Linked DNA regions of Drosophila melanogaster. The protein of the gene in region 1 purifies or fractionates together with the protein of each later gene. This does not show direct contact. Each region holds a gene or a part of one and is shown on either strand. Other genes may lie near its edges.

Region 1 (6,756 bases):
GCTTTGTTGGCCAGAGTTTAATAGCAGACACTGTGGCAATAGCTCCGCACTCTCGGTGTTTTTATTGAATAAACGTCGCGTAAAAATAAGAGCCGTAAAAAAATGTTTTTATTTTCGACTTTTGCACGGACACGCAAAGTGAGTTAATCCGGCAAACAAAGAATTGCCACATGGCTGCAATTTTATTTTCCCTTTCTTCGATACCATATGGATCGATCGCTCAATGGTTTTTAGCACTCTAATCACAAGTGCAGTAAATGCATGAAAATAACTAAGCAAGAGTTCGAAAAAATGGAATTTCACTTTTTGGGTTTTTTTAACAATCCATATTGGCTTTGAAAACTCTAAAAAATATGTTCTTGTTGTATTCAATAATTAATAGGCAAATATGTTTTGGATTTCGACTTGGAAGAAATCTTATGTGACCTTATATATTTCATAAAATATAAATATTTATAAGCAGTGAAATTTATTATAAAAAAGTATGTAAGTTTTGGAAAATTATTATTTTTTCTTTAAAGATGTTTGAAGTGGCTATTGAAAGATTCGATAAAGTTTTTAAACGCCGGGTTGTGTCTAATTATATATAAAGTTTACACGTAGGAAAACAATTTAAGAATTGCTTGACGAGATTGTAACAATGAATTCCAGAGACTAAATGCCAGTTAATCAGAATCAATTATCTTTAGATTCATCTATGAATCAGCTTTTAAGACAATGCACAAAAAAGCGCATTGAAATATTGAAACACGTATTTAATAAAATTTTCTAAACTATAACAAATACATAACTTATCAAATCGAATATGTATATATATTCCTTTTAAGAGAAGATACTGTTTTCTGTTGGCTGAAACCCGAGACGTTTTCAGCTTAAATATGCAACACGTGTCTTCAATTATAAAGATTTCAACGACTTAATGATGTGAAGTCAAATAAGTGAGACAAAAAGTGGTTAATCATAACATCAATATTGACTCTCCCACGGAGTCGGTGATGTAAACAGAACTGGGCTCAATCTAGAATCGAATGGAGTAATCCCCCGCCAGACGATGCTCATCCATTGGACGTCAATCCCGAACGCGTTTTCGATTCAATCTTAATGCGAAGACAAATGAGCTTTCCGTTTTTATGGGTGGGAGAGAGGCTCACTTCACTTTTGTTTCCGATCGAAACCAATAAAAGTGACATAAGCTCATCCACGAGCACCACGACCGCAATTTTCATATCAGATCGACTGAGAACGGAACCCGGCATCAAATGCGCAGCGCAAAAACACCTCAAAAGATCTGAGCTCACGAACAAGCTAGAAGATACGTTTTGAGTACGTTTTCTGTGTCATCGCCAGAACAAATTCAATTAGGGAACGACGACGTAGAGATAGATTGCCGGCCGGTCGCCAGGTTTTCTCGGTCGCATTTGAGCTGAGTAGATTTTCGCAGACTTTTGGCATTGAGTATGGCGGGCCAAATGACGGGTCTCTTGGCAGATAGTCAAACAGTCCGTTCCAGAATGCTAGGAGAGATTTTAGAAAGCTGATCTGGGCAGCGGATCAAGGCGCTCAGGCGCTTGGAACGGATTTGGTTTTAAGCAGCGCGTCGCATAAACTACTAATTGACTAAAGTAGTTCAACTATTTGGGACATGCGGTATATCACTTCGTTTTCGTTAATAATTGGCAAAATGCGGAATAATCTCTTTGATATGGCGATCAACACTGGCGTATTTGAAACAAATCAGCGTAGAAATTTAAATGTACTAAAGCAAAAAATTCGGAGCTATCAAAACAAACTGGACTTTCATTGAGCCAAGCAAACAGCTTAATTTCTGAAATAGGTTTAATAATTATGTGCAATAAACGACCAATAAACGATTTTAAAAATAATGTATAAATGGGCAAACAAACTAGTTACAAAACCAATCTAATACAAAGTGATAATCTAAATGATCACAGTGCACATAGCGCCGTGTAAACTATTTCTATGGATGCAAATTAAATACACCTCGTGACTCAGTTTTTTCTGTAACCCTAAACATTACAAATTTTTGTGTTTTTGGGTAAATTTACAGGGAATAAATTTCTACGATTTTGCGGTTGCATTGCGACTGTCAATCGGATATGGAACGTGTGTGCCGGCGAAATAGAAAACCCGTCAATCGATCCATGGATCGTTTGGCAGATCGTTTGCTATATGGGCCAGTGGGTCGTCGTATGTTGACGACTGCGGTGCGGTTACGTGCCTGAAATGAGCCACATTGGGCGGATCAATTAAATGGTAGCAGCACTTGCCTAATTGGCCATAATTCTCCTTACCAAAAACACTTTTCGGGGCAGCTCTATAATTATGATCGAGAGTTAAGAGTGGGCGGCAATTTGTTTTGTTTATTTTTGAATTGTGCGTTGGTGTTTCAAAACGATTAAATAATTGAAAGAAGTGAAGCATTTGTTTACCAAACGAAACAGTTGACGCTGGGAATTATTAATGGTTTCTCTTTAGAGAAGAATTTACACTAACTACGCGAGTTCTCGCCGAAATAATTGCAAGTTCAATGTAGTGCAAAAAGTGCACTCAAATGGGGTGGGGTCAGCGTATATGTATGTATATATTTAGCAAGTGAGTGGGTCTGTCATCGTTTCCATTAGATCATTGCATTCGCTTATAGTATACAGCAATCTACATCTTGTGGGTGCACATATATATATGTAGGCGGATGCTTGACTTGCTTGAGCCAAAGATGCAAACACAAAAGTAGTCAAATCTCGGGTATTGAGGGTAGAGAGTAAGTAAACTTGATGAAATGACCCCTTTACAATGTCAAACTTAAAAGTGCATTATTTAAACTCACCATTCTTTTTGGGTTTCTGTTTTCCCATTTGAATGTGGGTACATTTTTTAATATTAACCTTCATGAGTACTTGGTGATAGTATAGTGGTGGGCTATACTATTGAAACATATTTTACTGCGATATTTTCCGGAGAGCAATTCAATTATCAGACTTCTTCCAACTGTTTTATAAGTGAAGAACTCGCGTATAAAAGTGGAAATCGGTAAAAACCCCTTTTCTTGAATTGTGAAATTAATGTTCTTTGTTAAGATGTTAATATGTATGTGACAATGCACTGACAAGATTTTCAAAGGGGCTCTGGTTGAATTCCCATTGGTGTTCAGATGTGTTTTAATTTCATCTTGCTTTAAATTCTAGCTTGTAAAATGGATGATAATTAAACCCAGGGGATAATTAAGACCTTTAACTACTTTCAAAAATACTGCTCTTAGTAACATATTTGCTTTGAGCAATAATACTAACTGGTTTGCGTTGTTGCACAATGCGATTAGACTTACCTCTTGGTGGTGGACCGGATTTGGGAGTTGTGTGATTGCAGCACGGTCTTCCGATTTTGGAAACAGAACCCGTCGATCCAAAACTAGATGGTGCCTTCATTTTGCTGGGCTGCGGGATTCCGGTACCAGAAGTAGCGGGCGTGGGAATATTGGATCTGATGGGACCCGGTAATTTGGAGGCAGTGGCTCCTGGTTCCGGGTCCGCAGTAACTGGCGATGGAAAAGGGGCACTTGTCCCGCCCGAAGCGCTCGTATCATCACTCATTTTTTACTTTATTCTTAATAATCTTCACTTATTAGGACACACGCGTATTAAAAGTAAACGATTTAAAAAACTTGGGGGAAAAACAAGTGCAAAAGAATAATTTTTGGTAAAATAAATGGAATGCTGATCACTTACCTTAACAAATATATGTATAATTCGCTTAATTTGCTTTTATTTTATATTTTTGCTACAAAAATAAATGGATTTTTTTTATTTTTAGCTAGGTTTTGAACCACTGTTCCACTTTTGTTGTTGCTTTATTTTGGCGCGCAGGCAGCTATCTCACTCGCACTTAGGCGGCTGCTTTAAAACAGCTGACTGAGAGCAGATTTCTTTTCTTCTTTTTTTCGTTGAGCTTGAAAAACAAACAAGACCGCTTTTTGTTGTTGCTCTCGTTGGCCAGAACTTCGTTATATTTTCAAAAAATGCGGAACACAAATATGTATTGAATTAATTTTATGCGACTAACAAAATCACTCAAGGGTATTCTATTTATATAAATTCGTAACTTTTTATTTATAATTTTGTGTTGGGCTGCTTGCGCTGATATTCATCAGACTTAAACAAGATTAAATTGAATCAAATTGCTTATCAATTTGTGCATTTCACACACACACACACGCACGCTGTAGCTCTGTTCTATATTTTATTGTTGCTGCTGATTTGACACAGTTATAGAAGAGGGAACCATTAGAAGAGGGTGGGAAAAGGGACGCGAAAACGCACTCTTATTGGTGTGTGTTTACCGCACACACACACAGTACTTAAATAAACTGGAGTGCTTTACATACTGTGCTGTGCGAATACGATTTAGAAATATACGCGATTGGGATTTTACAATTTTACACAAATTTTAGATTTTTTTTGCACTTAGTTGGCGTTGCGTTGGAATTTTGTTGTTGCACTGAGTTAGCGATGGTAGCACAGCTCCAGTGCAGCGCGCCAATCGATAGTTGCGGCTATATTTTCCCGAGGTATTTTTAGAGTAATGCGGTCATACAAAAACACCCTGTAGGAAATTGGCGAATATTTATTCGTGAATATAAATATGTAAAATATGAAATTATGTCACCAATAATGGAAGCGTCGCTGAGCTTATTCAGATTTGTGATCTGAGCCCACACAACTGACAAATTAACGAATTTATAATTTAGTCTAACATGGTTTTTTAATATTCAACCAGTTTATTGCCGGGTTCCAATACCAGGTTACCTGGTCATTTGTTCATTTTTTCTTTAAGTAGTTATATGAAATGTTTCGGTGTAATAACGACTCAGTAATCTAATAATGCCCTAAATTTGAAGGGGCAAATGCTAAACGGTAGATCATTCTGAATAAACAAACATTACATTACATTATAAAATGTAAGATTGTTGACATTTCGAATTGCGATAAAAATGGAGCCAGTGTATCATCGGCGCACTGTGGTATTTTATCGATAGTACTCAAAGGCACGCCGATTTTAAACTAACAGCAACGTTTCCAGCGCTGCCCAAGTAGCATCCCATAAACCGATTCAGTTGTTTTTCGATTTTCGTTGTGCACTGTCGCTCGTCTGCTGCGTGAGCTTGTGCGTGTGTGAGTGCGCGTGTGTGCGAGGAGGCAAAGAAGAGGAAGCAAGAAGGAAGCCGCAAAAGGAAAATCCAATTCCGAGAAATCTTATCAATGAGCCAAGAAGACGTACACTAAATGAAAAATAATCGAGATGCGTGCGTTTCAATAGAGCAAATTTAGTTTCCAGTTTCGGTTTCTTTCGGCACTTCACTCCGTTTCCTTATCGGTGTGATAGTTTAGCGCGTGCGTGTGTGTGTGCAAGTGTGTGGAAGTGTCGCCACGCCTACACGGGAAATGGCAGCAACGGTTTACCAACGCCTACATAGCGTCGCAGTCGGCGTCGGCAGCGCCGCTGGCAGCGCCATCGGCAGCGGGTCGGCTTCCCTTCCAGGATCTGGAACAGGATCGGGATCTGGAATAGGCCACGCTGGAAACACCTCCTCCTCCACCTCGTCTGCCCTGCTTAGTCATTCCCAGCTGACGCGCTCCCTGGAAAGAATCCTGGAAGAAGCGCACTTCAGCGGCGAACTGATCCTGACCAATCGCAAGCTGAAGGACTTTCCCAGGACTGGAACGAAGTACTCACTTACCGACACTGTCATCGCAGGTGCGTACCGCTATTGTATAGTGTATATTCGTAAGGGAGAACAAAGAAAAGGTGTTCTTCAAGCCGGTTTCGTAGCTCCGGAAAAAATTGGGTTTTCATTACTTCCTAAGTAAAGTTTAAACTGTTCTTAATAATACTTAATGTACGAAGTTAATAACATTTTATTGGAAAAAGCATACATTTTTATATTACAAAGTTAAATGGTATTAAAGTTGATTAGAAAATTGTTAGTTATAAAGTTTTCTTTTGACGTCAGAAAAAGTAAAAGTAGAGTTTACATATGTACAAGTACTGATAAAGCAATTAAATTAGTTGCTTATCGAAAATGTTTGGCGTATGTGTATACCTTTAGGGTGCGGCATTTAAGCAAAGGAGGTTTGTTGCCGGTGAGCTAACGAAGTTTTTCCATCTCCATTGCAGTGGCGAATTTTCCTTTTGTTGCTTGAAAATCAATAATTTGCAGCAGCCGTCGGAGGTTCATCCTTTTCCTCCTTTTCTGTCCTCCCATCAGCTGCTCTTTCTCTCTGCGGCTCTCCCATTCTCTCCCTTTTCGGACTGCGCTCAAGGACAATAATTACCGCCGTTATTCGCTCTTCGCCACTTTGCACTATTCGTGTTATCCTTATTTATTTTTATTTTCGCCGCAGCCGGCACGAAAATTTTGTCGAAGTTCAACCAACTTTCGTTTTTGTTAGGACCAAAAAATATGCACCAGCGGAGAAATAGTAAATGGGAAATACCCACCCAGAAAATTCACCGCCCTCTCGCAGGACCCCGCCCCCTCTCACAGCTGCTGCTACCCTCGAACAGATGTTCTCACAACGGGACATGTCTCTCATCGATTTTCACTTGTGTTTGTTGTATACACATACAGTAAACGCTCTGAAAGGCGAAAGGATACGTAGATAAGGTTAGTTGTCATTCTAATCGCTGAAAAAGCGAGATATGGCAATTTTCCATCTAACAATACTTCACAGATCGAAGATT
Region 2 (5,570 bases), on another chromosome or scaffold:
AAAGGTGACCCAGACATATGTGAATATACATAATAAAAAGTATCTATATATTATTACCCACATTCTGAAGATGATAATGGAAATTGAATATCATCTCGATAGACACTCCATATTATTCCCGATTTAAGTAGCTGCCTTTCCCTAACTGTAGCGACTGCACGGATTTAGAAGCCATCCGCTGGGCAACCAGTTGAACTTGTTTTAGCCACAGATTTTGCAGCTGCCAGTAGCCACTACCAAATGGGTTCAGAGTGATGAGTCACTCGGGCTAAATGGTCCAACTTGGCCCATCCGAATAGCCCAAAAAAAAACAAAAAAAAAAAAATGTGGGGGGAAAATTGGTCGAAAAGCAATTACACTTGCAACAATAGAAGTTGCAGCTGTAAAATTTATGGCCCGAACGTCACAGGAACAAGAGTTTGCTTCGCTTAACCGAAAGCGGGAAACGCAACGGTGACGGGGCCAGAGTTCACTGTACCGTAAAGCGTTGGCAAGCAAAACGCTGAGCATGCGCAAAAGTCACAACCGAAACAAGTTTTTCGTAGCGTTTTGTTTTTCAATCTTTCTCTGTTATTTTTGCCATCCCTGTCCGATTTTGTTTTTAATTTTTTTTTTCGTATTTTAGTTTAGTTTAAAGTTTTTCATATGCCCCACAAATGCCGAGTCGAGTGCTTTCAGTTGCAGTGCGGGTTCAACGACTTGGAATTGTTAAAAAAAAAAGATGAAGCGTAGAGAAGGGGGATTATGTAAGGCGAAGAAATGACTGTCGATAGTTAAACGTCGAGCAAGTGGAACCAATTAATGCGGACCAGTCAAAAGAAATCCGAAAAAGCCGGAAAACTACCGACAATTGAAAAGCGTTTTTTTTTTTTCCTGTGAGCCAAACGGCAATTAACGCTGCTCGTTTCCTACAATTCGGAGATGCAATTAAAATGCAAATGCTAACCGCTGGCTATCCCACATCCAGACCCAGACCCAGATCCGAATCCCATTTCCATTCCCATTGCCATTGCCATTAACCAAGTCATTTTACAGACGTTGATGGATTTGTGTGACGACCCTATAACTCATTTTCCACGACACATGTTCACAGATTTTCCATATGGTGTGGACCTGCAAGTCGTTACTTTGCACTTGGCGGATATGTGAGCATGGGGGAAAAAAGCATGGATCACTTCGTTTATTTTGGGTCACATTGGGGGCTTTGTGTTAGCCAGCCTTTGTTTTTTTGGGCGGCCTGTGTGTGGTGTTCCCAAATATGTGTTATCGTTTCACACTTAATCTTATCTCAGTTCCCCAGCACAATTACCCGTTTGACGCTAGGCAGAAAAATAAATAGCAGGTAAATATAATTCAGTTTCGTTGTAATGAGAATAATATAACCAAATTTATTGGCCACACAACTAGCAAATTGCAGAAAGTCGAGCCTCTTTCCCATCGAAAACTATAGCTATGCAAATCTATTTTCAGTCCCTTTGTTTTAAATGATTGTTTAACGATTGAAAAGTTATAAATAGACTGACAGTCATTAATCAAACGAAAGTAAAATTTTTTGACAAAAAAGTTGCAGATTATGGGATTATGGATTATGAATTTAAATGTTACTGTAACTATAAAAATGGTCGTATCATTATCATCATACATGATTCACATTAGTTAAGTGGTTGAAGTTTAAGCTTGAAATAATTTATTTATTTAGTGTTTAAAAATGAGTGCTATCTTATCATATTTACAACTGTATTCCGAATATATAGTTTGAATCACCGTTGATATATTTTTGAACAGGAAACTGAAACGGAACTTTCATTGCATATATTGATCCAATATTTTATAAGCACGTGTTGCGTTGGACAAACCAAAAAAAACTAATGTACATGAATAAAACAAGAGGGGCATGTACATAAAAAATCCATCAACGATGCCACGATAGAAGCAAAATACAACTGGAATTATGCTAATCGACTATCAAAACAAAAGCTGCAATTAAACCACACACTCTGGCTGACTTTCACTGCGAATCTTTGAACAATCGTCGGCCGTTTCAGTGTTTCTCTTTTTGTATTATATGCAAATTGGTCTAACGCATCTCGAGCCCAACTGCTGGCCACTCCAAAAAGATTGGTTTGCCTCCATTCGAGAAACTTTGGGCTACATATCTGTATAACCCGTCGAAGGTTCCATATAATTCATATAGGCAGCTGTCGGCGCTGACAATGGACGGCAATGGAGATCAGGATTGTGATCCTGCGATCCTGTCAGCTGTGTGGCGCGTGTTGGGAATTGCTTGCCACCCGGCGAGGGGGAGGTCACGTCGGTTTGAAAGGGGGTTGAACGGGGCTTGAGTGACAGCCAGCACAGGGACAACAACAGGACTTCCTCCAGTGCACCGCAAAGGATCTCGAATTATATGGAATTATATGCGCGACACCCTTGTGCGAATATTAGGTGAAATGATACAGTGATACCTCAATAAATCCATCAAATATTTATTATAAAGTAAAATGTCTTGGTTAAAGGGAAATGCAAATAGGTAAGTTAGTTTTAGCACCCATATAAACATTCTTGTTTGTTTCTAGCCACCGATTCCCGTGAACAAGGACAACATTCCTCACCCCCCCAGAGAAATATAGATACCCTGGCCACATGAAAGGGTATCGACGAACCCGTTTAATTGGCTTTAAAGTGTTCAGAATAGGTTGGGCACGTCTGCAAACATGGACACGCATGCGCAGGAGCGGCGTCCACATCCCTGCTCCTCCAGCTCCTACTCTGCCCCTATTTTCCACATAAATAAACGAAATGTGCCTCGAATGGGAAATCAGACGGCCAGTCAGTCGATCGGGGAGAACGACACTTGTGTCCCTGGTTGACAGGGAAGGGAGGGGGGTGTGGCTCCAAGAAATGTTTGCTCATTTCCGCACTCAATTAAAATGGTCGGGACACAAAACTATCTTTGAGTTTGCTTTAAAAACACAACAACAACAACTGTGAACTGACGACGTTGACATGGGCCCCTGTCTATAAATAGAATTATGTACATACACACACATATGGACACATGGAATAGGGTGCATGGTTGTGGGTGCGGGATGTGGATGAGGATGCGTGGTAGGAGGACAGCTGTGGGAATTGCAGGAATGGTGGTGACATTTGCTGTTGCGACTGCGCACTCCTTTTGTTCGATTTACGGTCACGTTTTCTGTTTGAACCTCCTGTTCTATAGAGAACTAATAATATTGGAGGGCAAACAAAACAAATATGAGTCATGGTTAGAATAAGTTTACCAAAGCCAGAAAAGAGCTAAATTCTATGTAACTACTTGGTATAGAAATTAATAAAATGTAATGATTAATTGTACTTTGGTTTAGTTTATGTGCAAAAAACGATTCCCAGTTGAAAGTACTCATATGTAGGGTGCAGTCACTTCCGCGATTGCTAATCGATTTCTTGTTTGCAACACTGGCATATTGTACATAGGTAACCAATTTTCGTGGACAAGAATGTGCCAATGTCAGGCGGAAAGGCGAAAAGCGCAAGTCAACAGAAAGCAAAAGGCAGCAAATCCGCCTTCACAGGTGACCACCACTCGCTGTCAGGCGGTTATCCCCTTACCCCTATTCCTCCAGAGAGATATTGGCCACTTACCTTAAGACGGCTGGAAATCTGTACGTGCGTAAGTTACTGGCAAATGGGGATTATGTTTCCGGGGACGCACACGAACACATTGATGAAGGCGCAATCCACTTGGAATCGATCTCCTGCGTGGATTTTGTTTGGTTCGAATTTAGAACTTGCAATTTATAGCCACGATACACTATTTCCAAAAGTTTGTAACACTTGAAGTATTTTCAGCTGGGTGTTGTGTTTGTTTGCCTCGGTTTTAACAGTTTAGATTTAAGATTCAAGCGGCGATCGGAAGGCGACCAGCACGAGCGTCTCGAATCGCGTACCGTCGCGTTGGAGAGTCGAGTCGAACTGAAATCAAATCCACAACAATCCACTTTTGGATTTTCGACTTCGAAAAGCAACGGCACCGAAACAACAACAAGCACGCGCAAAACAGCTGACCGCTAGAGGTGCCACCACCGCTGCCGATAGTTAGGGCGCAAAATCTGCCCTGCAGTGTGACCAGAGATTAGTTTTGGCGCTAATTTTAAATATGCGTTACTTTTCAAATCCATAATGGTTAGATGGGTTTTTAAGATACTCATTTTCGTAGATGCAGTAGTTTTTACTTATCCTATTTGTGTAGCCAGTTCTAAACTTAAAGCTTGGAATATGGTAATTTAAGATGCACCGCATATCAGTATATATAAACAGTATACTCTTCAAAAAGATTCACCGCTGATCGTGCTGTTTTTAAGTTTAATTATGAAAGATGCAAACGAAAATGGCCAAGTTTGAATGGAATGGGTTAAGAATGCGGTGTTATCGAGTGGTTCACTCTTCTGCAACACCTGCATCACGACTGGTCCACAGTCGCAGTGGTTTATCCGTCAGAATGTTGGATAGTGTTGTACTCAGTTCTCAGTACTATACTATAATTATTTCAGCAAAGCAAGAAGATTTGGCAACTTTTCAAAATATAGATTTCGATGGCTGCACAACGGTGCGTTCTCATATTCTTGTTCCCTATATATTTTAAGTTTAGTGACGTGGAGCAGGACAATTGGTTCCCACATACCGCCCGTACTCTTTGTAAAAGTTCCAAGAGGGGTTGTTTAATGAATAAAAAGTGAGGTGACTAATTATTTTCCTGTCCTTAACTTTACCAGCTACCACCACCACCTGGATGCATTCTGGGGATCAAATATTCCGCCAGCCTTTGTTGCAAATATTTAGATAAATAACACTAGCGAATGAACGAGAAACGAGTGTGAAATAGGAGCCATTGTATCGTACGATTTTCCGTCTTTGATTTTTCGCTCTCATAATGGGTCAGCGCCCCGCTTATTAATTGAGCTCAATCAGGAGCGTCTTTATTAATTGTCGCAGGGGTATATTGTGTTTTACTAACTATAGTAAGTTATAAGTTATAAGTAAGTATGGTTGAACCCTTCTAACTTTGTAATACTAGATTTCAAAGTTGAAGTTACTTGGTGTACTTGCTTAACTATAAGATATAATTTTCTAATGAAACTAAGTTCTTTTAGCTGATGAAAACTGGTATCTCAACGAACAAGAATGGGTATCTCTTAGTCGCTAGACTCAACTGCGACCATTTCTTTGTATTTTTGCAATACCCGCTTAATTGTCTGTCTGTCGCAGCGCAGCTCAATTGGAAGTGAAAGAGAGCGCGTAGGTCTGAGTGATCGTGATCGCCTGATTGACAAACGACTGCCATCGGATGAGGCATTCGAGTTTCCACTTACCTGGCTTACCTGGCTGCAAGCGGCTGTGCAAATGGAAATTGGTAGAGGCTTTCCCCGTAAGTGGCCGGGGATCGGTGTAATTTGCTACCAAAAACGACTAGGGGTGGCTCCGTACCATGTTAGTCATATCTCCACCTTCTCCTCGTCCGCCTGAAGTGGTTGTATCTGGGTATTGCTATCTTGGTATTAGAGACCCGC

The links. Proteins that work in one complex are often made in the same cells at the same time.
Region 2: the proteins of CLIP-190 (region 1) and jar purify together in Drosophila melanogaster (affinity purification with western blotting; 3 studies listed by BioGRID, with this or other methods). This does not show direct contact.

Annotation. Positions count from the first base shown.
Region 1 is NT_033779.5:17,382,483-17,389,238, reverse strand, and holds the start of CLIP-190 (cytoplasmic linker protein 190), read right to left. Parts: upstream 4,225-6,756; 5' UTR 3,744-4,224; intron 3,679-3,743; 5' UTR 3,609-3,678; coding exon 3,344-3,608; intron 3,094-3,343; exon of another isoform or gene 2,910-3,093; coding exon of another isoform or gene 2,846-2,909; intron 1-2,845. Other genes in the region: Lrch (Leucine-rich-repeats and calponin homology domain protein), read left to right, coding at 5,457-5,769. UniProt on the Drosophila melanogaster protein: Together CLIP-190 and jar may coordinate the interaction between the actin and microtubule cytoskeleton. May link endocytic vesicles to microtubules. May play a role in formation of furrows during cellularization.
Region 2 is NT_033777.3:24,267,254-24,272,823, forward strand, and holds the start of jar (jaguar), read right to left. Parts: upstream 3,981-5,570; 5' UTR 3,646-3,980; intron 1-3,645. UniProt on the Drosophila melanogaster protein: Myosin is a protein that binds to actin and has ATPase activity that is activated by actin. Together CLIP-190 and jar may coordinate the interaction between the actin and microtubule cytoskeleton.